4 linked regions of the Mytilus edulis genome follow. The main gene of each other region encodes a partner of the protein of the gene in region 3 in a complex. Links are inferred from orthologs where the notes say so. Each region holds a gene or a part of one and is shown on either strand. Other genes may lie near its edges.

What was found.
Region 1: the proteins of splicing factor 3B subunit 1-like (region 3) and splicing factor 45-like are in contact, whole or in part, in a crystal structure (PDB 2PEH), measured with the Homo sapiens proteins. The link is inferred for Mytilus edulis from reciprocal best matches to the Homo sapiens genes SF3B1 and RBM17. Residues at the interface, in NP_036565.2 of Homo sapiens: Arg334, Ser336, Arg337, Trp338, Asp339, Glu340, Thr341, Pro342; in NP_001139019.1 of Homo sapiens: Leu309, Met312, Val313, Asp319, Asp321, Leu322, Glu325, Thr326, Glu329, Leu372, Arg375, Tyr376, Phe377, Gly378, Gly379, Val382.
Region 2: the proteins of splicing factor 3B subunit 1-like (region 3) and ATP-dependent RNA helicase DDX42-like are in contact, whole or in part, in a cryo-EM structure (PDB 7EVN), measured with the Homo sapiens proteins. The link is inferred for Mytilus edulis from reciprocal best matches to the Homo sapiens genes SF3B1 and DDX42. Residues at the interface, in NP_036565.2 of Homo sapiens: Pro509, Pro510, Lys513, Arg517, Thr520, Asp557, Arg558, Tyr561, Lys562, Asp565, Leu566, Arg568, Pro569, Ile583, Ala607, Ile610, Ser611, Arg614, Glu622, Arg625, Asn626, Arg630, Pro646, Phe647, Ala650, Val651, Lys653, Ser654, Lys655, Lys656; in NP_031398.2 of Homo sapiens: Asn68, Glu71, Glu72, Tyr75, Phe76, Glu77, Asp78, Glu79, Glu80, Glu81, Asp114, Pro115, Leu116, Glu117, Phe119, Met120, Val123, Ala127, Asp130, Met131, Arg133, Leu134, Gly146, Ile147, Arg148, Ile151, Glu152, Glu153, Glu154, Asp155.
Region 4: splicing factor 3B subunit 1-like (region 3) and splicing factor 3A subunit 1-like share a complex: the UniProt entries of both Homo sapiens proteins name them as parts of the 17S U2 SnRNP complex. The link is inferred for Mytilus edulis from reciprocal best matches to the Homo sapiens genes SF3B1 and SF3A1.

The regions. Positions count from the first base shown.
Region 1 is NC_092344.1:3,344,282-3,351,959, reverse strand, and holds the start of splicing factor 45-like, read right to left. Parts: upstream 3,021-7,678; 5' UTR 3,006-3,020; coding exon 2,907-3,005; intron 1-2,906. UniProt on the Homo sapiens protein: Splice factor that binds to the single-stranded 3'AG at the exon/intron border and promotes its utilization in the second catalytic step. Involved in the regulation of alternative splicing and the utilization of cryptic splice sites.
Region 2 is NC_092345.1:82,959,312-82,966,236, forward strand, and holds the start of ATP-dependent RNA helicase DDX42-like, read right to left. Parts: upstream 3,008-6,925; 5' UTR 2,880-3,007; intron 1-2,879. UniProt on the Homo sapiens protein: ATP-dependent RNA helicase that binds to partially double-stranded RNAs (dsRNAs) in order to unwind RNA secondary structures. Unwinding is promoted in the presence of single-strand binding proteins.
Region 3 is NC_092345.1:84,715,990-84,723,712, forward strand, and holds the start of splicing factor 3B subunit 1-like, read right to left. Parts: upstream 3,002-7,723; 5' UTR 2,896-3,001; coding exon 2,874-2,895; intron 942-2,873; coding exon 754-941; intron 1-753. UniProt on the Homo sapiens protein: Component of the 17S U2 SnRNP complex of the spliceosome, a large ribonucleoprotein complex that removes introns from transcribed pre-mRNAs.
Region 4 is NC_092346.1:97,751,259-97,758,998, reverse strand, and holds the start of splicing factor 3A subunit 1-like, read left to right. Parts: upstream 1-4,737; 5' UTR 4,738-4,831; coding exon 4,832-4,940; intron 4,941-7,451; coding exon 7,452-7,616; intron 7,617-7,740. Other genes in the region: zinc finger B-box domain-containing protein 1-like, read right to left, coding at 1,067-1,128. UniProt on the Homo sapiens protein: Component of the 17S U2 SnRNP complex of the spliceosome, a large ribonucleoprotein complex that removes introns from transcribed pre-mRNAs.

The sequences.
Region 1 (7,678 bases), on a different chromosome or scaffold from region 3:
ACGAACCGCCGCTAATTTGCCTTGCAGCAGGCTCAGGCAATTTAACACGGTTGTTTGGTAGATATGTATAAATGAAAGTAGTCGGTAGTATTCACCCCCAAAAATAAAGAATGATTGAGACGCGGTGTAGCGATATTTTGTCAAACTAAATAAACTTTGTAAAGCTTAATCGAATAACTAACATGACGATACACAGCTATGTATCTCTCCCAAAGCAGAGGAATTAGAAAGTTAAGGCTCCAGTTAGGCTTTACCGCTTAGACGATTGTATGTGAGATGCTTGGTTCAGTGTTCAGAATTATTTTGAGATGAACATTAGTTTAGTTAGTCTATATGTACAACAATGTTTATACACTACTTAATTGAAGAGTGAATTATTTTTAAAAGTTAATTCATTGAACTATAAAAACAGTGATAAACCAAATAGAACTTTGTAAAGTTTGCCGCGTTCTCTTTGAGGAATATGTTAAAATAAGTTTACAACAGCAAAAAATGCTGGTAAATCGGAATATTGAAAACTGACAGTTTATTTTTGTGGATGTCAAAAGAGTAATATTCGTGTCGCATGTTTGCTTGTGTTGTTTAACACTATATTTACTGCATTCAAAATATGTTTTTTTCATCTGCTTGACCAGAATATCTTTTTTTCATCAAATTGGGGATCTGAATAATTTTTTTAGGAAAAAAACATAACCCCCTTGAAGCTAAATGGTCGTTCCTTGATCACTATGATTTGTCTTTATGAAGAGAGACTGCTCTGCTGATGACGTTTCTTTTTTTTTAGTAGAATTTGTTCCCATAGATCTTCTTTTACCAAAACTTGCAAGGTATTCAGTTTCTTTATATGCATATATATGGTCATGGTATTTCTTTGATAGTTATACCAGATAGGTGGCATGCTAAAATCTGTTTCTGTGAAATTAGAACGCATGTCAACAATTATTCTACCAAGGGGTGTCTGGATTGGGGAGGGGGGTTGTACCTGTATTCTTTCAAATGTTTGCCATTTTCTCTATTCTTTATACTTTTTGCCCATTATTTTAGGACCTCATTTTTCTCTATTTTTTAAATCCCCCCTCCCCCATTTTTCTCTTTTCTGTAAATCCACATCCACATCCTCATAAACCTCTACTCATGAAGTATATTTTCTATTGCGGCAGTTATTAATCTTTATCGGACTTATGGGGTGTTGGACCAGTGGGGTGTCGGAATACCTGGCTGACGTCCGTTGACCCCCATAAATCCAATAATTGTTTATGTTATTATGAACACCATCACATGTCAATATCATATATTTATTTGAAGTTTATACCCAAGATTCACAAAAGTGTCGGATACTTTCTTTTTCATCTATATTACAGTTTTCAGATGGAAAAAAAATGTTAAATATGAATTATTGGTTATAAATATTAGGGACAATCTACACTATGCCATATTTAATTAAAAAAAATCTACATTAGTTTACTGTGTAATATATAAAAATCACCACGTAGTTTCTCGTATGTCCTACGAATAACAATGTATGATATTGTGCATGCACTGTTCTGTTATTTGTGTTTCCTATCTGTAATAATCATTAAAATGTTAACTTGGCGTGCCATACTTGATAGAAATGCGGACGTGAAAGAAAGCACTCTTTATCAAAACGTCAACGGAGATTACATTCTTCATTTATACAACCTATTTCAGGGAAAATGTGTATTAATTTTCAATGTTGACACCAATATTGATCTGCTGGATGTAGATTTTACGAAGAAAACCTAAAACACATTTGGTCCTATTTGTTATTTCATAGCAAAGACTCAGTCTGGTTTAATCATTGACGGTATAATATTGTTATCGTACGATGCACAGTCCTGTGTATCCGCGCATTTCATGAATTTTGGCTCCACTGTGAAAAACGTATGAAAACTTATAACTGTAAATCTTCCTCTAAATTTATGATTTTACTCACAATATTATGTGCAACGTGTTTCCGAAATTTGACCGGGACTTTATACGATCTTTTTCTAAGAAATACAGTTCAGTTTGAACCTTGGAGCGGACTTCCAAGGATGCGGGCAAAAGTTTTTTTGTCATCAGTTCAATGATATTTGCCGTATTTAAAATAAAACCATTTTCCCCTAATAGATTCATGAGGAGGGCAGGACCTTTTTTGATCCGGTTCTACTTTCAAATTTCGGAATATCAGGATTTAAATTTCTTTAAATTCGGGACCTCGGGATAACATACTTTTAAGACCTTGATTTCGGGACCAGGCCCCCTCTGATTCCCCTCCCCGTCACCACCCCATTCATATCTCATTTATGCTTCAAGAACTTCTCAATTTTTATCTTTTCTTTCTCTTATTATTTTAATGATAACCAAAACAATTCTTTTTGTTGCGAAATCATACAATGTGGGATATCACCGGCTGTGCGAAGCTCTCAGTCTGACAAATCATCGAGTTGAAAAGCCTGTCACGGTACTTTTTCGGCTGATTTTGGGTTACAGGTAATCCAAGCACTTGCATGGCATCAATTTTAGATGTACAATTAAGGTTTTAATAGCGCTCCTTCGTTCAATTAAATTTAATAGTGAGTTAATAGACTATTAACGCTAATTAAAATTTGTGCAACACAAATAATAGACTATTAAATGTAAGTGTACTTTTAATAGACTATTAACTTTAATAGACGTTTGTGCAACCCAGTCCAGATTAGTGTTATAATTTTATATTTCTTATTTTATCTGATAAATAAAAATAATGTTGTAACTTAACGCCCAAAATATGAAGGGTAAATATAGTGTTATGAACTTAACTTTTAGGTATGATTTTGAAAAAAAATCTATTATGGTTTCAGATAATTATATGTTAATTAAAAAAAATCGTTTAAGTTATCATAATATAAAAAAAAAACTGGTACCATCTTCTTCATTGTTACAACACTGGATGGTAGAATATAGCCTTTTGTCCTCTTCTGCACTGTTACAACACTGGAGGGCAGGATATTGCAATTTATCATCTTCTGCACTGTTACAGCACTGGAAGGCAGGATATATATAGCCTTTTATCATCTTCTGCACTGTTACAACACTGGATGATTATCATCTTCTGCACATTGTTACAATTTACACTGGAGGGCAGGATATAGCCTTTCATCATCTTCTGCACTGTTACAACACTGGATGTTTATCATCTTCTGCACATTGTTACAATTTACACTGGAAGGCAGGATATAGCCTTTTATCATCTTCTGCACTGTTACAACACTGGATGATTATCATCTTCTGCACATTGTTACAATTTACACTGGAAGGCAGGATATAGCCTTTCATCATCTTCTGCACTGTTACAAAACTGAAGGTAAGAGATAGCCTGGTACCAATTTCTGCACATTGTTATATACAACACTGAACTAAGTGGGACAGTCTGATAAGCTTCTTCACTGTTATAATACTAAAGGACATACAGGGAAGCCTGGTTTCAGCTTTTCCACTATCGAAACACTGAATGGTTTGAGATTGTCTGGTAACAGCTTCTTCAATATTTCAACATTTTAGGACCAGAGAAGAACTGGTACCAGCTTTTCCACTGATAACACACTGAAGGGCATGATAGATCCGGGTTTCCGCTTCTCCACTGAAGGGAACGAAATTCTTTCCTATCAGCTGCCCCACAACACAAAGAACGCAGGACATGACATTAGGTTCTTCAAGCTTCTCCACGACACAAAGACTACAGGACATAATATAAGTCCTATCAGCTTCTCTATGACACAAAGACTGAAGGACATGTGATTAGGTCCTACTAGCTTCTCCACAACACAAAGACTGCAGAAAATGCATTTAGGTCTTATCAGCTTCTCCACAACACAAAGACTGCAGGACATACATTTAGGTCTTATCAGCTTCTCCACAACACAAAGACTGAAGGACATAGGATGAGGTCTTATCAGCTTCTCCACGACACAAAAACTACAGAACATAATATTAGGTTCTATCAGCTTCTCTATGACAAAAAGACTGAAGGACATGTGATTAGGTCCTACTAGCTTCTCCACAACACAAAGACTACAGGACATGCATTTAGGTCTTATCAGCTTCTCCACAACACAAAGACTGAAGGACATGAGATGAGGTCTTATCAGCTTCTCCACAACACAAAGACTGCAGGACATGAGATAAGGTCTTATCAGCTTCTCCACAACACAAAGACTGAAGGACATGAGATGAGGTCTTATCAGCTTCTCCACAACACAAAGACTACAGGACATGAGATGATTAGGTCTTATCAGCTGCTCCACAAGACAAAGACTACAGAACATGAGATAAGGTTTTATCAGCTTCTCCACAACACAAAGACTGAAGGACATGAGATGAGGTCTTATCAGCTTCTCCACAACACAAAGACTGCAGGACATGAGATGATTAGGTCTTATCAGCTGCTCCACACGACAGAGACTACGGGACATGAGATAAGGTCTTATCAGCTTCTCCACAACACAAAGACTGAAGGACATGAGATGAGGTCTTATCAGCTTCGCCACAACACAAAGACTACAGGACATGAGATGATTAGGTCTTATCAGCTGCTCCACAAGACAGAGACTACGGGACATGAGATAAGGTCTTATCAGCTTCTCCACAACACAAAGACTGAAGGACATGAGATGAGGTCTTATCAGCTTCTCCACAACACAAAGACTGAAGGACATGAGATGAGGTCTTATCACCTTCTCAACACCACAAAGACTACAGGACATGAGATGATTAGGTCTTATCAGCTTCTCCACAACACACAGACTACAAGACATGAGATAAGGTCTTATCAGCTTCACCACAACACAAAGACTGAAGGACATGAGATGAGGTCTTATCAGCTTCTCCACAACACAAAGACTGAAGGACATGAGATGAAGTCTTATCAGCTTCTCCACAACACAAAGACTGAAGGACATGAGATGAGGTCTTATCAGCTTCTCCACAACACAAAGACTGCAGGACATGAGATAAGGTCTTATCAGCTTCTCCACAACACAAAGACTGAAGGACATGAGATGAGGTCTTATCAGCTTCTCCACAACACAAAGACTGAAGGACATAGGATGAGGTCTTATCAGCTTCTCCACGACACAAAAACTACAGAACATAATATGAGGTTCTATCAGCTTCTCTATGACAAAAAGACTGAAGGACATGTGATTAGGTCCTACTAGCTTCTCCACAACACAAAGACTGCAGGACATGCATTTAGGTCTTATCAGCTTCTCCAAAACACAAAGACTGAAGGACATGAGATGAAGTCTTATCAGCTTCTCCACAACACAAAGACTGAAGGACATGAGATGAGGTCTTATCAGCTTCTCCACAACACAAAGACTGCAGGACATGAGATAAGGTCTTATCAGCTTCTCCACAACACAAAGACTGAAGGACATGAGATGAGGTCTTATCAGCTTCTCCACAACACAAAGACTACAGGACATGAGATGATTAGGTCTTATCAGCTGCTCCACAAGACAAAGACTACAGAACATGAGATAAGGTTTTATCAGCTTCTCCACAACACAAAGACTGAAGGACATGAGATGAGGTCTTATCAGCTCATCCACAACACAAAGACTGCAGGACATGAGATAAGGTCCTATCAGCTTCTCCACAACACAAAGACTGAAGGACATGATATGAGGTCTTATCAGCTTCTCCACAACACAAAGACTGAAGGACATGAGATGAGGTCTTATCAGCTTCTCCACAACACAAAGACTGCAGGACATGAGATGATAAGGTCTTATCAGCTGCTCCACACGACAGAGACTACGGGACATGAGATAAGGTCTTATCAGCTTCTCCACAACACAAAGACTGAAGGACATGAGATGAGGTCTTATCAGCTTCGCCACAACACAAAGACTACAGGACATGAGATGATTAGGTCTTATCAGCTGCTCCACAAGACAGAGACTACGGGACATGAGATAAGGTCTTATCAGCTTCTCCACAACACAAAGACTGAAGGACATGAGATGAGGTCTTATCAGCTTCTCCACAACACAAAGACTGAAGGACATGAGATGAGGTCTTATCACCTTCTCAACACCACAAAGACTACAGGACATGAGATGATTAGGTCTTATCAGCTTCTCCACAACACACAGACTACAAGACATGAGATAAGGTCTTATCAGCTTCACCACAACACAAAGACTGAAGGACATGAGATGAGGTCTTATCAGCTTCTCCACAACACAAAGACTGAAGGACATGAGATGAAGTCTTATCAGCTTCTCCACAACACAAAGACTGAAGGACATGAGATGAGGTCTTATCAGCTTCTCCACAACACAAAGACTGCAGGACATGAGATAAGGTCTTATCAGCTTCTCCACAACACAAAGACTGAAGGACATGAGATGAGGTCTTATCAGCTTCTCCACAACACAAAGATTGAAGGACATAGGATGAGGTCTTATCAGCTTCTCCACGACACAAAAACTACAGAACATAATATGAGGTTCTATCAGCTTCTCTATGACAAAAAGACTGAAGGACATGTGATTAGGTCCTACTAGCTTCTCCACAACACAAAGACTGCAGGACATGCATTTAGGTCTTATCAGCTTCTCCAAAACACAAAGACTGAAGGACATGAGATGAAGTCTTATCAGCTTCTCCACAACACAAAGACTGAAGGACATGAGATGAGGTCTTATCAGCTTCTCCACAACACAAAGACTGCAGGACATGAGATAAGGTCTTATCAGCTTCTCCACAACACAAAGACTGAAGGACATGAGATGAGGTCTTATCAGCTTCTCCACAACACAAAGACTACAGGACATGAGATGATTAGGTCTTATCAGCTGCTCCACAAGACAAAGACTACAGAACATGAGATAAGGTTTTATCAGCTTCTCCACAACACAAAGACTGAAGGACATGAGATGAGGTCTTATCAGCTTCTCCACAACACAAAGACTGCAGGACATGAGATAAGGTCCTATCAGCTTCTCCACAACACAAAGACTGAAGGACATGATATGAGGTCTTATCAGCTTCTCCACAACACAAAGACTGAAGGACATGAGATGAGGTCTTATCAGCTTCTCCACAACACAAAGACTGCAGGACATGAGATGATTAGGTCTTATCAGCTGCTCCACACGACAGAGACTACGGGACATGAGATAAGGTCTTATCAGCTTCTCCACAACACAAAGACTGAAGGACATGAGATGAGGTCTTATCAGCTTCGCCACAACACAAAGACTACAGGACATGAGATGATTAGGTCTTATCAGCTGCTCCACAAGACAGAGACTACGGGACATGAGATAAGGTCTTATCAGCTTCTCCACAACACAAAGACTGAAGGACATGAAATGAGGTCTTATCAGCTTCTCCACAACACAAAGACTGAAGGACATGAGATGAGGTCTTATCACCTTCTCAACACCACAAAGACTACAGGACATGAGATGATTAGGTCTTATCAGCTTCTCCACAACACACAGACTACAAGACATGAGATAAGGTCTTATCAGCTTCACCACAACACAAAGACTGAAGGACATGAGATGAGGTCTTATCAGCTTCTCCACAACACAAAGACTGAAGGACATGAGATGAAGTCTTATCAGCTTCTCCACAACACAAAGACTGAAGGACATGAGATGAGGTCTTATCAGCTTCTCCA
Region 2 (6,925 bases), about 1.8 Mb from region 3:
TTTCTGAAGTATTTTTTCCCTGTTCACCAAGAAATAATTAAATCTGGTCTATGTATGTACATGTATCACTGACAGTGAGACAATTCTCCATCCAAGTCATAATCAGTTTGGGGGCAACCCCTTAATGTTATAAATATACCTTTTACATGTTTTATGAGGGATCAATATAAGTTATAATAGATTTGTTTGTACAAAAGGGCTCATATTTTCTCAAAGAACTATATATCTATCTGGTATTAAATGGTCAAAACATGTCCAAGAATTTTGTAATATTCCTGGACTTTAACCATGTTAACACATTTACTTTAACAGTTTAATATTATTCAAAATAAGTGGACCCCTCTTTTAGAAAAGTTTTTTAAAATATGATGCAACTCTCCTCTTTTGAGTACAAAATTCTAAGTTTTTAAAGGTTTTGTATATAAGAACTATACAAATCCTTGGTATTTCTATTTTCGTTTCTACATCAGTAAAATGACCCCTTGTCCATGTTGTCTGAGAGAGGGTTGTTCTCAGCCTGATAATAACAAACACAGGTCAAAGTACGGCCTTTTACACAGGGCTTTGATACAGATCAAACAGCAAGCTATAAAGGACCCCAAAATTGTCAGCGTACACAATTCGAACAGGAAAACCAACGATCTAATCTATATATCCAAACGGAAAAATACCAATGAACAACATCAACAAACGATAACTGCTGAACGACAGGCCCCTGAATCAATCAGGACAGGTGCATAAACATGCAGCGGCTATGGATAGTTTTGTTTCGCCAGCATACAATATAATTGCAGTTGAAGGCAAATCCTTCAGAAGTTTTTTGTACTTCATTCTAACAACGAATATTTTTGATAGGGAATATAAGTAAGGGGGAAAGAAACCAATGTTTTATTATGTTCAGGTATTTCCGCTATTTCTTCCTATACAAATCCTTGTTATTACGGAGCACTCCCGCTTGGGATAAATTGGTTTCATGCTGAAATAAATATTCTCACAGATATTTACAGTGTGGTGGGGTGCTTTTATGTTTAAAATCGTTATATACACGTTAGACTGTGATTTTAAAAACAAATGTTGATATCTTTTTATAATATTTACAAAAAAACGGTGCGGGAAATGGACATGATTAAATTTTCGGATGCGGGAAGCAGGAATATAAAAAAATAAAAAAATTCTGTTTTGAAAAAAATAGGTGCGGGCGGGTCTGTCGAACAAGGAATCAAATTGGTGTGGCCTTATGTTATTTTTGACTATTTGCGGACTATAGGTTTGTTCAGGTTGGGAACAAACCCCCTATATGGTGATTATACCTGTATAGAGGGATAATCCTTCTTTAGAGGGTAAAAATTATCCCTCTATAGAGGGGTATTTTTGTTTGCACTGGATTTAAAGCAAATTAGGGCAGAATGGCATTCTCTTCTTATTATGGCAGTAACCTGGAACAGTTGATGCACCAATTGATGTACTTAATTTAATATGCACATGCCCAGTTTGATGCTTATCTAACTAAATATAAAATCTATTGTTAACCATGATTGAAAGATGTGATGATCAGGTAAAATCTACTCTTACATGTATGCCTCACTGAACAGAATTTCTATTGTTAGATTTAACATGAAATTTAAAGGTCAACTATTCCTTTTGTTGTTGATCAGGTGCTCAGATAGGTATACAATAGATTGCAAGTTTTGTCACTTTAGCAGAAAACTGGTTATCCCAATTTTTAGTAAAGTGCATATGTTGATGCATTTAATGCTAGAGATTATAGCCAATATACCTAGAAAATGCCATTCTGCCCTAATTTGCTTTAAATCCAGTGCAAACAAAAATACCCCTCTATAGAGTGATAATTTTTACCCTCTAAAGAAGGATTAGGTAGCAATACACAGTTAGGAAAAAAACTTAAAATTGACACTCATAATTTTTAAACACCCTCTTTCCCCTCCTGTCTAACAAAGAAGGCTTTATATGTGTGTTATGCATGTATATACTTATAGAAAGAGAATCTTCCATAGATTTGATTTTTTAATGGTCATAAGGGTGAAATATAATCCCTCTTGAGTGTAACCATGGCAACAATCTGCATTTCTTAGATACAAAATATAACAAAAAAGGGGGGTGAACATGTCACAAAAGTCTCCAAAATTTGGTCTAAAGGAAAATTTCAATCAATTACAGTGATACCTTTCCTGAATCCATAGGTTTATATCTATCAAGTGGTCCCAAAAAAAACCATATGCTTATCTGCTCGTTTTTCCATAAAATTGAATTGAAAAGATCGAGCGCAAAATCTTTGTTGATAAACACTACAATAATGTATGGACCTATGAACGGTACGGATAAGAAAATACGGACTGTCAATCATATAAATGGCCTATAAAACATGTTAAAAACAATCTTAATGTTCATATAAACACACTAAGAAGGCTATATTATTCTTCAATTATCTAAAAATCAATTTTATTGTACAAAAACTTTCATATTTAAAAAATTCACAGGGGCCATAATGCGAAACTAAACTTCTAACTGTGTATTGCTACCTTATCCCTCTATACAGGTATAATCACCATCCAGGGGGTTTGTTCCCAACCTGTTATTGGGGAGAGCTGGAGATTAATCATTTCTTTGGAGGAAGGCCCTGGTTTAATTAGCCTTTGTAGCTATGCTCTCTCTCTATGTGTGTGTATGCCTAGGTACGTGTATTTTGTCAAGTCAACCAATTTCTGAATTTTTAAATGAATTTTTAAAGGGTTACAATTTCTTGACAAATGAAATGGTGACACCGTTCTCTTATAAACAAATAAGTATGTATAATTTTCTTGTAGCAGTTAATCCGCTAAAAGGTGAAAAGGGTAAGTTTGAAATACTATCTATTTAACCTGTACACTCCTTGGTGTGTGCTGTTTTCTCGTAGCAAATGTAAGAAAATAGAATAATAAAATCTTCAAAAGGGAATAATGATTATTTCTCCTTCAAACGAAAGAGCTCATTGTATCGGTTTCGGACCAACTACGTAGTGTTTCCGTCTTACACTAACTGATCTTAAAATTTTGTATTGCCCTTGGCGCGCATCTACAACTGAATACTCATCCGTGACGCCCGGGGCTTGAAGTCATAAAACTTTGCTCAGTGCTTGGACCACAAAAAGCATGCTCGAAACATGAAATCCGACATTACGATTACAAAAAACTGACTCGAAAGTTTTATGACTTCACTTTGAACTCGACTGTGAAGGCCGGGAGAGTTATGCTACAATTAACGCACTTGTTTGGTGGGATACGCATACAACTGCAAACTTGCAGAGCAGTCAAAATGAATTCTGATTCTAATGAAATATGTAATATCACAGCAAAGAGGGATTTAAAGGGACACTAGCTGTCAAACCATGTTCACACAGTTTACTCAATCCAAATTATAATAAGTCTTGAATAAACAGTTATAAATGCATGTACTAGATAATATATGTCAGAATTCCGTGTGTTTTTTAGTCTAAACACCATCCAATGGTTTATCATGATGACCTACGAAAACTACCGACGGTCATATATCTTCTTTTAATAACTGGACACGCATAAATCATACGTAACGGATTAGATGAGGTCTCTTGCAAGTGATTAATTCATCATCGATGTTTCTTATCTTATTTTGACAAAATTGAACCATACTGGCTGCTAAACGCGAATCGCAAGTTAATATTTCACTATTTCCCTTTCGTTAATGATTGAATAAAAAAATTATCGTAATTTGATTTTATTATATAACTCGTAGCTATTGCTCCTTTAGATGTCGAAATAGGTAAGATATCCGCCGCGCGTAGAGATACAAAAATGTTTAGGGATATATCATTTTAGAACAAAAAAATCCACAAAAGGGAGAGGGGAGTGTAAGTAATCTGAATCAATACTCTATAAAAAAAATGTACATGTTCCTTTGGAATATCAACTAAAGACGAAGGGATGGACCTTCCTTCGCTCAGCTGGGAACAGTTTATCTAATATATATATGTTCCTGCTTCGCTGTATTAGATACCTAAATTATATAAAAGAGAGGCGAAATATACCACAGGAACATTCAAACTCATAAGTCGAAAATAAACTGACAACGCCATGGTCATATTTAACCATACCAACAACTTTATATATTATTTGGTCATCCTCGTGATCAACGAAACCCCTTTCTAAATATATATATTCTAAAAATAAATTGTACCACTCATTTCAGTAAAGCCGGGCATCATAGTGATTGTGAAACAACCTACACTAGGGGCGGCGTGATCATATGTGGACACTTAAAAAATTTTAACTGTTAAATACACACAATTTAATAAGATTTAGAACTGGAACGTGAAATGTATCAAAGAAACAACAAACTGACAAAAGAACAGAAAACAGCCGAAAGGCACCAATGGATCTTTAACACCCCCGCACCCTCCACAACCAGAGGCGGATTCAATTAACGTTCTCTAATAGGACGATTAAAAAATTATTGTATACATACTTTGTAAAAAAAATCTCTGAAACTTACATTATCAAGATGTTTGATATCTTGATTGACAACATATTTATAACGTTTGCAGGACATCTTTTTAAACAAATAAACTGTATTCCCATGGGAACTAGATGTGTTCCACTTCTTGCCGACATGTTCCTTTATTTACACGAAGTACATCATACAGGGGCTTCATAGAAAAAATGGCTAGCATTACCCTTTGAATTGACGTTCCGTTCTTTATATGATAGACATCCTCTCACTTAAGGTAACAGGTACGTAAATGGCTTGTCCGGCGATTTTTAAACGAAATTGTATACACGTCACTGTGTCTAAACCACACCGGCAAAATTTGTTCGGACTCGATGGTATCTAACATCCGGCACAATGACGGAACATTAATAGACAGAAGAAAGCTAGGTTTCTCCTTATTTTTTTATTTTTTTTATGATATTGAAGAATATATATACATATACAACTATTTTCTATTGTGAGATGCAATATTTTCTACAACCGTTCTATATTAACGGAGAAATAAGTCAAAATGCATGTCAAAATGACGAATTGAGTGAACCTTGCCTCGAAATTGTTTAATTTCTCGTTAAATTGTTCACATTGTACGGAAAGAAAGGTACGGGAAGATAGATATTGACACGGAGATTGCAAATTTAGTTGTTATGAGCATCTCCATAATTGTATCTTTGTGTATGGAACGAAAGAAATGGGTCATGTCAAAATGGAACTGGCCGGTTTCGTCAATGTATACAACCCGGTTTCGTCATAGATTTCAAAATGCATAACCCGGTTTGGTCAAATAAAAAAAATCATAATCGCATTACATTATAATTGATTATTTAACTTCAGCGTTCAAAAGGAGTTTTGTGGGTCGTTGGAAAACAAGTTCGTTCACCGGACAACGTCTTATTATTTATATGAGTCTCAGATTCAAATAAATAATAAGCAAAAACTTGAATTCCTACTCTATAGAACACAAATATTTTAATTTACTTTGCATTCCGAAATTTTTTAACAGCATATTGAGATTAAAGCTCTCTTAATATGCGTTTTCTATATGAGTTATGGGAAAATATGTTGAACATGTTTAAACTTGAAATTAAAGTTTACGGTCTTAAAAATCGAAACACACAATTGATATGTGATTTTCTCGCACAAAAGGATGGACACCTTTATAAGTAATCTAATCATTCTATGTATGTAATCTTTTCTACAATCGTTAAAAATAAATCTTCTTAAGGATAAACGTTGATAATAAGACAACTGTATATGCATGCATAATCGACATAGAAAATGAATGTAGGATTACAACTACCATGCATTAAAATATTTTTTTTTATCCCTTATTGTAACTATACTGCTATGTCCAAATTAGTATAATAGTCTCAGGTCATCGACAAAATTCAATAATAATTATTTTGTTAACATTACTAAAACAAGAATGTGTCCTCAGTACACGAATGCCCCACTCGCACTATCATTTTCTATGTTCAGTGGACCGTGAAATTGGGGTAAAATCTCTAATTTGGCATTAAAATTAGAAAGATCATATCATAGGGAACATGTGTACCAAGTTTCATCAAAAACTACCTCGACCAAAAACTTTAACCTGAAGCAGGACAGACGGACGAACGGACGAACGAACGAACGAACGAACGAACGGACGGACGGACGGACGCACAGACCAGAAAACATAATGCCCCTCTACTATCGTAGGTGGGGCATAAAAAAAACGAGTCTGTACTGTCGCCGTTGTGTTATGATGGTCGTACACTGACGTTGGTGAATATATATACGGACAGACGGATTCAGTTTATTTCAAAGTGGACGTAATTCGAACAACTTTTACATACCGCCGAGCGTAGCGAGTCGAACACTATTATTTTTTGCTTTACAAAATCGTTAAATACAGGAATCAATATAGTTTTGGCAACCAAAGGTGGGGTCGGGGCGTGCAACCTATACGTCATCTAGATTCGCCACTTATCTTATAAAGTGTATACCGAATTAAAATATTGTAAGAAATGAGAAAACAGGGACACCCGGGAAATCGGATTATGTGAGTTGGATTATGTTTATTATAATAAATGCCGAATATCAAGTTCTTTTTATCGATTTCTATACATTTTTTTTCAAATATATATAAAAGTTATATAGCAAAAATGATAAGGCAGACAAATATACAAATAAATCGACTTGACCGATATCCTAATAAAACTTATTGACCTTTAATTACGAGTTTTTTTTCCATTTCTTTGCGTTTTTACACGCCCGTCCCAATTTTGACAGGACGTATTATTGTATACACCCGTCTGTCCGTCCGTCCGTCCTTCCATCCGTCCGTTCCTCCATCCATCAGTCATTCGGTTCGTCCGTCTGTCCGTCTATCTATCCGTCTGTCCAGCATAAACATGTCGCACCG
Region 3 (7,723 bases):
CAAAAGAAGCAGAAAACATGCTTCTGTATTCAATATTTTTACCGGACATTCACTTTCGTTTTAATGTATGTTATGATAAATCCCGAGCAATGCGAAAAAAATATGACTACATGACACACGCTAATTGGATAAACACCGAGAAGATCGAAATGTTTTCAAAAACACGTGTATCCTTTGAGCAACGAAAAACTCTAACAGGGACCCATTTCAGCTACTTGATGCAGGGATCTATTTTTAGAACGAAAGGAAATTTCCAATTATAAATATTATAAAAATAGTTTACGCGACGACTGTAAACAGATAAGGGTAAATAACGCAAATGGAAGCCAATAAAAGGGTCGAGAACTCATGGTTTTGGCATATTATTGGGTTTTCCTTTGAATTAATTGGGTTATTGAACCCTGCAATGGGCAATTGCATTGGGTTTTTTATTCTTTGTATTGCGTGATCACGCAAATACGCAGCTTATCTGGAGCTTTGATCAGCTATTAGAAAGTTACACAATTTGAATTCCTTATCACCATAAAATTGATATGATATCTGCTTTAGTATATTCTACCATCATCCTTTTTAAATTGTGTACATGTACATTCATACAAAGCTGTAAATTCATTAATAAAAACTAAAGAGTATTTGTTAGGTTAAAAGCTCTATAAAGCTTACCTATATTATAAAAAAACACATAACCAACTTTCAATAAAACTGCTTTATGTTCAAATCAAAACTTTTTTTGAAGAAAAACATATTGCTTACATCTAATTCTTCATTTGGAGCAATAGATGTGACATATCCTTCAAACTTCCCATGTGCACTGTAAATATCTGTATCATAATGGCCTTCTGCTCCCAAACCAACTTTATTTGCCTCATCTTCTTCATCTGCCCCTCCATCTTGGAGCTTCTTTTTCTTTTGTTGAAGATTTCGTACTTGTTCTTCAATTTCTGAAATAAATATCTCCATTTTAATTTTGAATCATTTGTATGTTAATATTTGAGTAGGGTTTTTAAATGGATAGTTCATATTGTCAGTGGGATTTCTTGGACTTACCCCTTTTTATTTGATGCAATTCAACATAGTTAAGTTTTTTAATTTTTTCACTAAGTAGTTAATTTTGTATGTCATTTAGTCTCTGGTGCAGAGTTGTCTCATTGGCAGTCATACTTCATCTTTTTTTTTATATAAATTTTAATTAAATAAAAGCTGAATTTTCAACTTTAAGAAACTATGTCCATGATGCCACATCCCCTTCATGCCCTTATTTTACTTAATTATTTTAAAGAGACAGATCTTTTTTTTTTAATTGGTTGTATCTGTGGAATACCTATTAGAAAAGGGATATCACATTCTGATTTCTACAAGTATATGGATTAATACGGAGCCAGAATTCTGACCGTGCAAGGGCTGTGTAGCCAGTCAAGGTTGTTAAAAACTTTCTTTAGTAGAGCCAGAAAATTCATATCTGACTCATTGGTCATTTGAATTAACTGATTCTTGAAGTTATCAATTTCTTCAATGGTATGATCTTTAAGATCTCTCTTCATTTACATGTACTACTACTGCAATGCAACATTGATTATGTTGATTGAGTTCTTTTCATAAATTAAAACGTTAATAACTAGGGCCTAAATTAATATATTGTTTGTTTCCCCAATCCTGACCCTGCCAAGCCAGGTGTGGGTCGGAAGGTAGGGAAATAATTTTATTTTTTCCAAAAAGCTTGAACAACATTGGACGATCCTGCAAGCCTGAAAATAGGAAATGAATAAAATAATATTTGACTTAAATTTGACAATAAAATTTTATGAGTAGCACTGTTTTTGCAGGGTCGGTTGGGATTGGGGAAACAAACAATATTTTATTTTAGGCCTAGTCATGGGTTTTTTTTCAGGCTGGTTAAAATGTTTTAATTTAACCCTAATTCTGTTGGAATTAATAATCAAAATTTGATATGAGTTGAAATTTGCTTTGCACTACATTTGTTATAGCTTTTAGTTCCACAGTAGTTGTTATACTCTTGCAAAGGCACCTTTTCTTTTCATAGTATTCTTGTGCTTATACTAGTGCCGATATGATGATGTTATACATAATATAGGTGGTTAGAGAGTCATTCTAGCTAGGGAATGTGTGTGAGAGTCATAATGGTATGATGACTCTTGAGGTGGGGGAAGTGTGACAGGATTGCTTTCGTTCATAAATGTGGTAGACATTTAGTCAGCCATAAGTGCTTCCTTGTTACACAAACTGAAACATTACATATGTGAAGAAACTACAAAAGAGGAAACGTACACAAGTGTTTACAGTGTCATTTGGGACACTTACTAAAGACTAAAGACTAAGGTCCTGTGTTTCGAGTCCTGGTGGAGACAAGCAATTTTTTACACTTGTTCAACTTATTGTAACTAAATGACTTAAATAATATTCCTTTTCAGAACATACATGATGCATGTATTAATGGAAAAATTAGTGTGGCTGAATGGACTATTGCAAAACTAGTTCTACAGCCGAAATGACCTATGGCTGAACTGGTTATAACTTATGCGACCGAAACGTGTTATCAGCCCTGTTGGGCAGCATATCTTCTGAAGGTAAAGATTCTCTCTAATTCACAATGAGTTAAAATAGTATTGGATATGGATCGAGACAGCCACTATGAAAAAGAACTGCTAAGAACAATGTAGTATGACAAGATTCAAGAATTCGAAAATAAAATCTTGAACCTTTTAACACACATGTGTTCCATTATACGTTGCAACACAAAGCCACGTGTGTGGATGTTTACTTATATGTAAATTTAATTAAAATGTCATATTGCTACATTTGAGGTTGTTTCATATAAGTTTTCTAGGGGAGAAGTGGGGAAATAGTATACGGACCTTCTCTTGTTGTTGCAGCCATTTTGCTGGTCTATTGATGAATAAATGGAAGACTTTAATTTACAAACAATGTGCGTGAAATCTCGGAGTCTCAAACAAACTCCAAAATTGAGAAAGGAAATGGGGAATGTGTCAAAGCGACAACAACCCGGCATAGAGCAAACAACAGCCGAAGGCCACCAGTCTTCAATGTAGCGAGAATTCCCGCACCCGTAGGTGTCCTTCAGCTGGCCCCTAAAAATATGTATCATGACTAGTACAGTGATAATGGACGTCATACTAAACTCCGAATTATACACAAGAAACTAAAATCAAAAATCATACAAGACTAACAAAGGCCAAAGGCTCCTTACTTGGGACAGGCGCAAAATTGCGGCGGGGTTAAACATGTTTATGAGATCCCCCCCCTCCCCCTATACCTTCTAGCCAATGTAGAAAAGTGCCCACATCGGCATTTGTTTTGTAGATTTTGATTTCTGTTTATTTTTTTTCTAGAACTATAACCTTACTGTGTTATTCTAATCTAAGTTTTTTTTTTTACTGTTTTTACATTGTTTTTGTTTTATTTTATTCGCGGTTAAAGGGGCACTATGATGAATTATTCACTCAGTTGCAAGTGAATAATTCAACCTCATTTAATCCGTATTCATGTAAACTTCAATTTAACCCCTTAGCAAAAGATGGATAACGCATGAATTTTGCTTGTAAATTTATTTTATAAAGGGAAAAAATGTTAACATGAAAGATAACAAAGGTTTCTACTTGTATTTGTAATACTTATTTGTACTGATTTTTATCCATCTGATGAGTTAAGCCTTTTCAACTGGTTTTTATAGTTCGTTTTTTATGTTGTACTGTTACACTACTGTCCCAGGTAAGGGGAGGATTGGGATCCCATTAACATGTCTAACCCCTCCACATTCTGTATGTTTGTGTCTGTCCCGACGACCAGGGGCCTGTAATTCAGTGGTTGTCGTTTGTTTATATATGTGTTATGTTTTTCGTTCATTTTTTGTACATAAATTATGCCGCGCGAGTTTTCTCGTTTGAATTGTCATTTCGGGGCATTTTATCGCTGACTATGCGGTATGGGCTTTGCCGGTCATTGTTGAAGGCCGTACGGTGACCTATATTTGTTAATATCTGTAATATTTGGTCTCTTGTGGAGAGTTGTCTCATTGGCAATCATACCACATCTTCTTTTTTACAATCAATTGATTGATTGACTGATTTGATCCACAAAAAATATACAGACAAAAACGATGAAGATAAACATATATTTTTAATCTATGATATGAATTGAACAGACCTAGAAAAATCGAATTGCACGAGTTCGATAAATCTATTTGTATCTATATTTGTGTTTACATCGCTTATATGGTCATTTGAGGACTTCGGAGGTCAACTCGATAGTTTAAATATAGCTGGCGTCTAGACTAAAATACACACGAAACGAAGCTTCATATTATCGGGCCCATGCACTGTAAATAAGTTGTTCAAATTGGTGAACATGAATTTGACAGCTAGTGCCCCTTAAAAAAAATATTATACCTTGGGACTATTACATTGACCTATTGGTGGTCTCAGATTATGTGTTTAGAATTTACGAAAATTCAAATAATAATCTACATTTTAGTGAGAAATGTACAAAGAATATACTAAGTTTCCTAAGATACTGCTAAATATATGTCACGGCTTATATATTGAATAAGAGGGAATTAAAATAGAGGCATTTTAATGTTTCTAATAATAAAGATTACCCAGTAAAAGTTTAGTTCAAGTTTTAGGTGTAGCAACATCAGTCAAACAATACTTCCATGGTAAAACAAAGATAACTTTAGACATAGCCTCCTATATATGGCCATGGTCATTCGTATATGACCGAGATGTTAATTTTAAACTATCTTGGGGTCCTAGCTCACTGCTCGACAGTTGAAGTATTTATGTTGGGTCTTTTCTTTTTTCTTTTTATATATATGTAATCTGTTATCATTAATCGAGACGACTCGTGAATAAATGAAAATGAAGTGGTTTTGTATGAACCGTAATATGAAAAAAATGTATAGAAACTAGGAAATTATGAAAACTGCAGACTTTTATTCATAATATAGACGGAGAAATAGTAAGCGAAACACTGAATCAACTTTTAAATATGGTTGACAACGTACCGATGAGGGAAACAACCATAAATGCCACCAGTTTGGAGTATATAAAAATACCAATTAATGTAGCCAGGAGTACTTTTGGCACAAATATCCAACTTGATAATAAAAAAATACAAAACTGTAAGAAGGCTCCGTGGTTTACTGGTGATTGTAAAAAAAAAACAGAGAAAATATAAATCACCAATAGAAAATTTAGTAGATATCAATCATAAATCAGAAAGCCAAAACTAAATTATAAGAGAAAAAAAATATGAGACGACTATGAGTAAAAGTATGCCGAGAAACAAGAAAAAAATTAAGAAATGAAATATGTAACATTTTAGGTTTGGTTGTTTGGACATGTTTAGAAAGAGTGCCACTGATGTTTTGTGTACGTTATAAAGATCCTTGTAACAACTCAAATTGGACCATATGTTGGGGTTTTTTTTTCGCCTACGTTTATCTATGATCAAGACAATGTGCTTATTTTGATGACCTCCAAACGAGTTAGGGCCCATGGTTCTGTGAATGAGATGTACCAAAATTGCATCCATGCTTAAATTCATGTCCGTAAAATCGAATAACTTTCTTTATCTTTAAATATTTGAACAATTTGACAGTAGTCCATACATACTGTCGATTTAAAAACAAAATGGATGCCTGTAGCAAATTCTAATTGCATATTTTTGAAAGTTGACTCTTTGTGGCCTTCGCATGGCGACATTTTCGTCGATTTTACTTTTTGGAGTAAATATTTCATCTGTATTTTATATACTTTTTCACTTTTTTGGTCTTTTGGAAAATGTTATTTGTGCTGTATTTAGACCCTTCTACAACGAAATTTGTTTTACATGCACACGTATAAAAATTGCGGTTTTTATCTAACGCAGTCATAGGTTTGGACGTAGTTTTCAATTTAGACTTGTATATATGTATATATATATATATATTAACAAGTCAAAAAGGGTACAACATCACCATAAAATAACAATAAAATGAACAAATGTTAGCTATTTCGGATTACAGATATCCTTCTTCAGTATGACCACTAAAATGAATCATGTCAATTAATCTATTCTTATTATAACACTATCACAATCTTGAAATTTATACACAAACAAAAAACAGTTTAGGCGAACATCAGAGACGCTGGTACAATTTTAAAATTTCCAAACACGACGCAAAGACTGCAAAGAGATGCCAAAATAAAAATAGTAATTTGCGATGTGAACTGACACAACTCTAAAATTCCAAAGGTGATGCCAGTAAAAATGTAACAACAACTGCGTGGATAACAGTCCCCAAAAATAAACAAAAACGCCCTAACCGATCTAAGTTGGTATAATATTTCAAATTTGACAACGGTAGGGCAATTGCAACAGAGACGGCATATTTAAGCCCCCCCCCCAAAAAAAAAAATAGCAGTTAAATAATGATTAGAAAAATAAATAAATTTTTATTTACTAAGGTAAAATAACTGAACGTGGCTGTGTACTTGAATGAATGGAGCCCTGTAATTTAAACTGGTATATTTTTTTTTCTTAAATTCTTAAAGCTGTAAGTCCAGTACGGAAGCCGGAGTTACTGGGACCAAGTGATGATAGGAAAAACAGTGATGACAGGAAAATGAGTGATGGTAGGGAAAATGAGTGACTCATTCTATGTTTTTTTCATTTATGCCCTCTGGGGAAACTGTCCTTAACTTTCTAATCCAAAATCTTTCCCGAGTTACTCTGTCAGCCTTCGACCAACCCTCGTTGTGGTCTATGATTGTGATGGTAAGGTATTTGAGATCAGCTTGGGCGTCGTCATTTGAGATCACCTGGGCACGCCCAAGCTGATCTAAAAAAACTTACCATCACAATCATAGACCACAACGAGGGTTGGGACAGGTGCAAAATTGCAGCGGGGTTAAACATGTTTTGTAAGATCTCAACCCTCCTCCTATACCTCTAACCAATGTAGATTAAAGAAACACAGAAAATCGCACAGTATACTCAGTTTAAAAGAATTCCGAGACCAATGTCAGAATAGGTAACAAAAAAAGTAAGCAAAATGACATTGATACATAAATTTACAAAGGACTGCTAGCAGTTACTGATATATACCAGCTCCAGCCTTCAATCGAACTGATTGAACGATTTTGTCTTCATCGTATGAAAATCAAGTACCATCCCTTCCGAAAGGGGTTTAGTATCATACCATAAAAAATATATGAGAAGAACATAACTAGTATCACAGCACTGAGTATCATGACAACAACTGGTTTTAGAAAAATGTTTTGAATTCCGATGCAAAGACCTCATGAGTTAACCAATATACAATCCTTAATGACTTGACAATAGTATCTTTACGATATCCTTCCGAATAATTAGATATAGGAAGATGTGGTGTAGGTGCCAATGAGACAACTCTCCATCCAAATAACAATTTATAAAAGTAAACCATTATAGTAAGTCTGTTTAACGGTTTGGTTAGCTTTTGAGGTGAATGCCGACATTTTTTGTGCTTAGTAAAGAATATTACCATAGAATATTGGATGTGAAATACCTGAACGTATAAGATGTCTGCATGTTGATTTATATTTACGAATGATGTCCTTGTAATGGTGATAAAATTCATTAAATTTTTTGAATAGTTTGTGATATCAAAAACTCTGGTGTAATAATTTTTAAGTAATACAGAGACTTCTTTCTTTGAAATCAA
Region 4 (7,740 bases), on a different chromosome or scaffold from region 3:
AATGTTTATCAATTAGTATCAGTAGTCTAAATATATTTGTAAATGTTAATCAATTAGTATCAGCAGTCTAAATATATTTGTAAATGTTTATCAATTAGTATCAGCAGTCTAAATATATTTGTTAATGTTTATCAATTAGTATCAGCAGTCCAAATATATTTGTTAATGTTTATCAATTAGTATCAGCAGTCTAAATATATTTGTTAATGTTTATCAATTAGTATCAATATATTTGTTAATGTTTATCAATTAGTATCAGCAGTCTAAACATATTTGTTAATGTTTATCAATTAGTATCAGCAGTCTAAATATATTTGTTAATGTTTATCAATTAGTATCAGCAGTCTAAATATATTTGTTAATGTTTATCAATTAGTATCAGCAGTCTAAACATATTTGTTAATGTTTATCAATTAGTATCAGCAGTCTAAATATATTTGTTAATGTTTATCAATTAGTATCAGCAGTCTAAATATATTTGTTAATGTTTATCAATTAGTATCAGCAGTCTAAATATGTTTGTTAATGTTTATCAATTAGTATCACCATAACAGGGTTGAGGGTAAATGGCATCAACAGAACAGATGCTAATGAATAAAAACATAAAATTACAATAAAAATGATTCAGTAACATTATACTTATAAATACAGGTGATGAAGACAAAATTAATTGAGATTTATAGTTTGAAGTGAATCAATGAAATCTAAATAGACAATATCTTATACAAACTGTTTAATAACTAATATGAGTATAATAAAAAAAAATAATGTTATAATATAGGGACAGTATCAATTCAAAGTTCATGTTTAAGATTTGGAAGCAAAATGCATGTTTAAATAAAACAGTTTTACACAATTGACAATACTCATCTTAACTGTTATCTTTTTAGATATTAGGGCAATCTAATTAAAATTAAATCCTTTAATTGCTCCTGTTCTGATATGTCGCGCATCAAGGCTTGATGCGCGACATATCAGAACAGGAGCAATTAAAGGATTTAATTTTAATTAGATTGGATATTAGGGTAACACTTCAACAATAAAACTGTAAAAATAAGATACATACTGCTGTTTAAGTCTAACAGACACATCTTCTTTCTTTGCAGTGTTGATATTAAATGCGGACATCTTTACAGTTTTCTGACTTTACGCTCCCAACTTGAATTCTGTCAGTCTGTAAAATAATAATCATCAGTTAAATTACTCATGAAGTCCTCTCTTTATTTATTTATCAGTCCAAAAAATGTAACATAAGTGTTTCTCAACAAAACACACAAAATCCTACAGTAGGAAATTTTGAAATTGTCAAGAAAGAAATTGTAAATTCAATTTCTAATGCAATTAGTTTGTAACGATAATTTTCATTGGACCTTGACAGATATTTTAAGGGGTTAGATTCCACGTTCTACCAGTCCATAACTAAGAAAGCCCCCATTTTGAAATCCGAAAAAGTAAAAATACTTTTAAGTATGTATGTTTGACAAATTTATTTTAATACATATTGTATGTGGCATTAGAATGGAGATAACTGTATTGTACTTTAAGCTTAGCCTTCGTAAAACTTGATTTTACTGTCGCAAATATCTGTTTATCTATCTATGCTCCGCATCAATAGGTAAACTCAATTCGCAACAGTAAAATCTACCTTTTAGGAAGGCCAAGCTAAAATACAGTTATCTCCTAAATACAATGCAACCACAATTGGTTTCACACTAGTCATTTTTGGGGCCCTTTATAGCTTGCTGTTCAGTGTGACAGTGAGCCTTGAGGCTTCATATAGGAGGCTGTACTTTGTCCTGTAATGGTTTACTTTTAACAGTTGTAATTCAATGGAGAGTTGTCTCATTGGCACTCATACCACATCTTCTAATATCTATTGATTTCAAATCTGAAATAGTATTTTTTCCATGTTTAAAATACTGCAAAAAATTGGGTTGATTCAATTTGAATTAAAAACAATCACTTAAATGATCCCAGACATGCTAGGGGTTCAAATTAGTTGTGGTCTGAAGTTCCGAGACGTATCAGATTTACAGTTGGACTTCCAATTTGGTTATTGGCCACACCAAATGTACTTTTGAGTTTTCAAGTTTCAGAAAGCATATTTGATGAATTTCTGTATGAAACACTTATAACTTGCAAATGTTTTATGGGTGCTTTCATTAAGATCCGCGTTCTTCATATTAACACATCTTCTTCTTCTTCTTCACATACAGAAAAACATCAACTGGTTGATGATTATTTTTTGGGGCATGCCTGGTTTAACAGTATTGTTAAAGGTTAATAATTATAAATATATTTTCTAATTTCATAGTGGTTGTAAACGTTGCTAAACCATGAGTTTGTTTCTCTTCTAATGTGGAGAAGCTTCCAGAACCTGTAAAATATTGTATAAAATACCAAACTGACTCTTATACGCATAGTGATATACACCCTTTATGCAGTCTCATACACCTTATCGCTATTCCCAGCTAACCCGGCCGCTTGAACTTTTAACGTCATTCAACAATCACTTTTCCATTGGGGCGTCAGATATTTTGTTTTATGACATCAAAATTTAATGGGAACCTGTGTGATATCTAGTAGTGGCGGACAAATAGCGATAAGGTGTATACGGGGTCTGTTCTCCGATCCCACTTATTGTTAAAGAGAATCCTGTATCTCGCTTATAGTTTAGTGAGAATCCTGTATCCTGCTTCTCGTTGCCACAATGGCGCATGTTATTTCCTGTGCCTCGCCAAGCTTTGTTTCTTGTTTTCATGCTTAAAAGGGCTCTTCACGGTTAGTTGGGCCATATTGGATAGGGGCAGATTTTCATAATGGAGGTAAAAATGGTGTGAAAAATACAGGAACACATCATTAAAACAGAGCAGTTGCTTAGAAACATGCATAAGAAATGTAAGATTTCCCACACTTTCATACTATTTCCACCTCTTTCAATAAAATCTGTCCCCTATTCAATTTGGCCGAACTAACCGTGAAGAGCCCTATTATTTGACTTTCACTTGTCACGCTTAGATAAAATCGGCCAATCTTGGTCACACTTATATAATAGACCCACCCTATATGTATGTACTTTCGAGAGATTCCGCCAATTTAGACACACCCCTTGATTGACTGCAAGGGTACAGAGGATCCATGTACACTCCCTAAGGATTAATGGAGATGTGTCCTTTACAATATTAACAATCCCTACCCAACACCGCCCAAGGGAGCCTGTAGGACACCGGGAAGTCTGTTATTATGGTGGAGGAAGCCAAAGTACTTGGAGAGAACCAACAGGCTACTCGGTGGAAACAGACAAACCAGAGAGATATCAGAAGATTGATCTCCAGGGTCAAAGTAGGGGACAATTTTCACCAACCGAGGCACCCAAAGTACCCATTTTTATAGTTTAAACTCCATTGTACCAGAGATGTGTGTGAGAGGGTGAAAATTACCCTTCTGATGTACTAATATGGGGACAAAGTCCCCAATAACGGTAGAAAAATCAATAAAAAAAAAAAAAAAAAAAAAAATCGGGAAAATTTCCTTTGTACTAATGAACTCAAAATCGTTAACTTTTTTTTCAGATCTACTTCTGTTTCCGGTCTTCTTCCGTTTCCGGTCTTGTTTGCATAAGACTTTGAATAAAATGTATATTTATCAACATATCAACAAATATAGGAAGGAACTCAACACCCAATCATTTTTAATATTTGTTTGATATGAAAAAAACGTTACCTGGATAACAGCGTTTCTTTGTTTATATTGAATATGACGTCATAACTTAAATAACGTCACAACTAAACCCCTAACAACAGAACCAACATCGGAAACGTTACGGTATTTCCGTTTCTTTTAGGCAGTGTCTGCGAGTACCCGCATGTGGGTACCAATAGTCAAATTGACATTTGTAGGCTATGCGTACCCACATCCAGTTTTATAATAAAATGTAATCAAATCGGAAATATATACAGAAATTATCGATAATATGGGGATTTCGAGTAACACGAGTGAAGCTAGGGTATGACAAATAATATTTTCGAATTTAATTTATAAGTTAATAATATATAATGAATGGTTCAACCTTGCAAATTAAATGCACATGTACTGATTGAATATGAAATATACAGTCCCTGTAAACTATAGTCCTATAATATATAATATCCGAATTTTAAGTTGCTTCCACGCCTCAGAGGCAAAATATTTGTTGATGCGGTGAAGGTTTAAATTACATTTTCGTCAAACATTTTGTTATCTATTTACGAAGCTTCAGAAATAATGTTTTAATTAGGCCTTAATTTTTCCTGTCGAACATGTTTAGAATTTTTTGCCTCCGTGAATACAGGAAAAAATTATTCTGTAAAACTTTGTAGACAAGAGTCAATGTTTGGACCTTTCATCGAACTTTACTGTTAAGTGGTGCCGTACTTTTCACAATTTTTTTTTTAATTTGAACCCCTGGATCCTGTAATCAAAGGCTACCGTTACCTAAATTTCTCCTCAAATCTTCATTTTACCGGATATCCAAGGTAAATATTTGGAAAGTCTCGCGAGAAAAATGGAGATTTTACTCTGGGTTTATAAGACGCTTAAGAGTTGAAAACGTACTTTTGTTTAAGATTAAATTGTGGGCTTAACAGCTGCTTATATCATTGTAATCCAATGCATATAAAATTTTATCAGCCTATATATTTCGCCGCTAAAAAGAATATGTAGCGCTATAAAAAGATATATTTCAGGCAAAACGTTTTTGCGACTTTGATAAACCTTAGCGACTTCCGGTACGTTTTTACTCGCAGCAATTTAGATATTGGAGGTGTTCTACTTCAAGATCACTTTTTCCAAAATGCCGCCTATTGAGAAACTTATATCTGTACAGGAAGAGAAAACAGAAGAAGAAATACAAGCAGCTAAACCAGTTATTGGAATCATATACCCTCCCCCAGAAGTAAGGAGTATCCTTTTAATGTCAACAACATATGTCTCTCACTCTTTAGAATAGAAAAAATATTAGAAAACAAAGTAAAGGTTATTATACATGTATAGTCTTTCTAAAGAAACTTGTGTAGAGGTATGTATGTTGTTTTCCTCCAGAGACAACTGTCTGTCTTGTAGTTGCACACAGAAAAAAAACAAATCCCATTATAATTTTTTTTTAAATCTTGCATAGATAAATAAGCTTAAATTATTAAGAAAGGGTATCAGGTCCATTCGCCCTACTTACATATTTGCCCTGAGTTCTTTCGCCCAGAGAGTCTGGTCGCCCTGGGATCGGTCTCTCTACTTTTATTAAAAAATATTAATATTTGATAAGGGTATTAAAGTTTAACAAACTTATTCAAATATTTATATAATGCAAGTTCTTAAAAAATCATGAAAACGCATGAAATTATCTAAAAATGATGGTGTTTTTATACCCCCGCTTTAAAAAAGGGGGGGTATACTGTTTTACCTCTGTCTGTCCGTCGTACCGTCCGTCCGTCAGTCAGTCCGTCCCATGAAACTTTCGTCACATTTTTCTCAGGAACTACACATCCACCCTTTCTGTAATTTGGTATCAACATTTACATATGTCAGCTATACCATGTGATGCGTTTTCAGATTCATCACTTGACAACTTCCTGTTTACCGAACACTTGTCTGATTTTACACATGATAGCCAAATTGAAAATTTTCGTCACATTTTTCTCAGGAACTACAATACAAGGATTTCTGAAATTTGGTTTCAGGATTTATATAAGTCAGCTATACCGTGTGATGCGTTTTCAGATTCATCACTCGACAACTTCCTGTTTACCGAACACTTCCATAGTTTTACACTATTAATATTATCCACTTGCGGCGGGGGTATCATCAGTGAGCAGTAGCTCGCAGTTTCACTTGTTTTTTTTGCATTAATCATGTTAATTAACGCTAATTGAAGGTAGTAATTTGAAGCCAAAGTTTAATGATAGTCGCCCGTTAGCATGGTTAGTAAACAATCATCAACGAAGCATAGGTATTTAGGTAAGCACATGTATAACATGTACAATAAGAGATAGTCTATGATGATGACAGAGCGATGATTACGTTTGGTTTTCCATTTGCACTTGCGTATTGAGATCTCGGGATTTTTACAAGAAAGGTCCGTCTGAGGTAACTGCATATATGGAAAACATGTTGGCGAATTGTTTGCTGGAAGCAAGCAATTAAAAAAAGTCAACTTCTTCTTAATTTTGACAAATAATAAAATTTTCTTGAGAAAAAAATATATATTTACTTAAGTTTTATAATAAAAACTATCCATTTAGTCATAAAAAACATATACATAAAAGTTTCATATGACTTTAAACATGTTCACTAACAATCAATCAATCTTGAGCAGTATATTGCTGAAGCATGTTAATACTATATTAAGATAAAATATCAGTATGCAGCTTAAATTTCACCTCTTCAATAAAATTTAACCAATGTGCTATATATTTGACTGAAAAACTCTGTGCCCCTGGTGCTTTAAAGGCTGGGGATAATATGGTTTAGCATTTTATAAATATAAAATATTATGATAAATATTCATTGATTGTCTTCAGGACAGTAGCAATAAAGTATATTGGTAAGTCATGTAATTTAGTATATTGTAAGTTAACATGCTTAAATCAAGTTTAATAGTTTACCAGCAGTATTGATACAATGTACAATAAAGTATATCATGTATATTGGTAAGACATATTAGTACATTTACATTGTTAGTTAACATGCTTAGGTCAAGTTTAATAGTTTCTTATGAGTATTAATAAAATAAAGTATAATATTGGTAAGTCATGTAAGTATTATATTGTTAGTTAACATGCAAAGATGAAGTGTAGGTGTATCAATACTCAAGAAAAGAGCATAACAGAATCTCAGTGTTCCTAAATTGGTGTATTTATACACAAGGAAGGAACAAAATAAGAATTTACTGTTCCTCTGCAAATTGGTCACAAGTTTGCTGTACTATCAGTATCTGTCTTTAAATCTCATCTCTTCACATGTAACAAAATTTTACAACATACATGTACATCTATCCCAACCATGTCACCCACACATGAATTTGTTCATGTGTTGAATCAAACTAATTTTTGTATTTATTTTAAATTAAACAATTTGTGGTTAAAATTTAGAATCTGCAACTGTGTAATTCTCATTCTGTTGAACATGTACAGTTCATACATGTATATGAGTACAAAAATTATGAAATCATTAAGTTATTGTAAAAGGCAGTTACATGAAATAAGGTTTATAGGCTAGAGTGATACACATGAAACATATTCAGTTCATATTCAATTCTTCCTCACAACATTTGAAGAAATTGTTAGTTAAGAATTTTTCAAATATTGATACTTTTGTTAATTGAAAGAATTTATTTTTATTTTACCTCTTTGATCTATATAGACCAGAATACTACACTGAATTGTAACATATATCATTTCTTTAACAAGGATTCTAAGATATTGTAGACAAGACTGCTAGCTTCGTTGCCAGAAATGGACCTGAGTTTGAGAGCAGAATCCGTCAGAATGAAATTAACAACCCTAAATTTAATTTCCTCCAACAAAATGACCCATACCATGCATATTACCAGTATAAAGTCAAAGAGTTCAAGGAGGGCAAAGGTAGATAGATTGCTGGTGTTTAAATAATACCTACTACAAGTACAAAGTCAGAGAAAACAATGGTCATGATATGGATAAGATTGTTATGTTATGATCTGCATTTACAATATATACTTTATTCTAA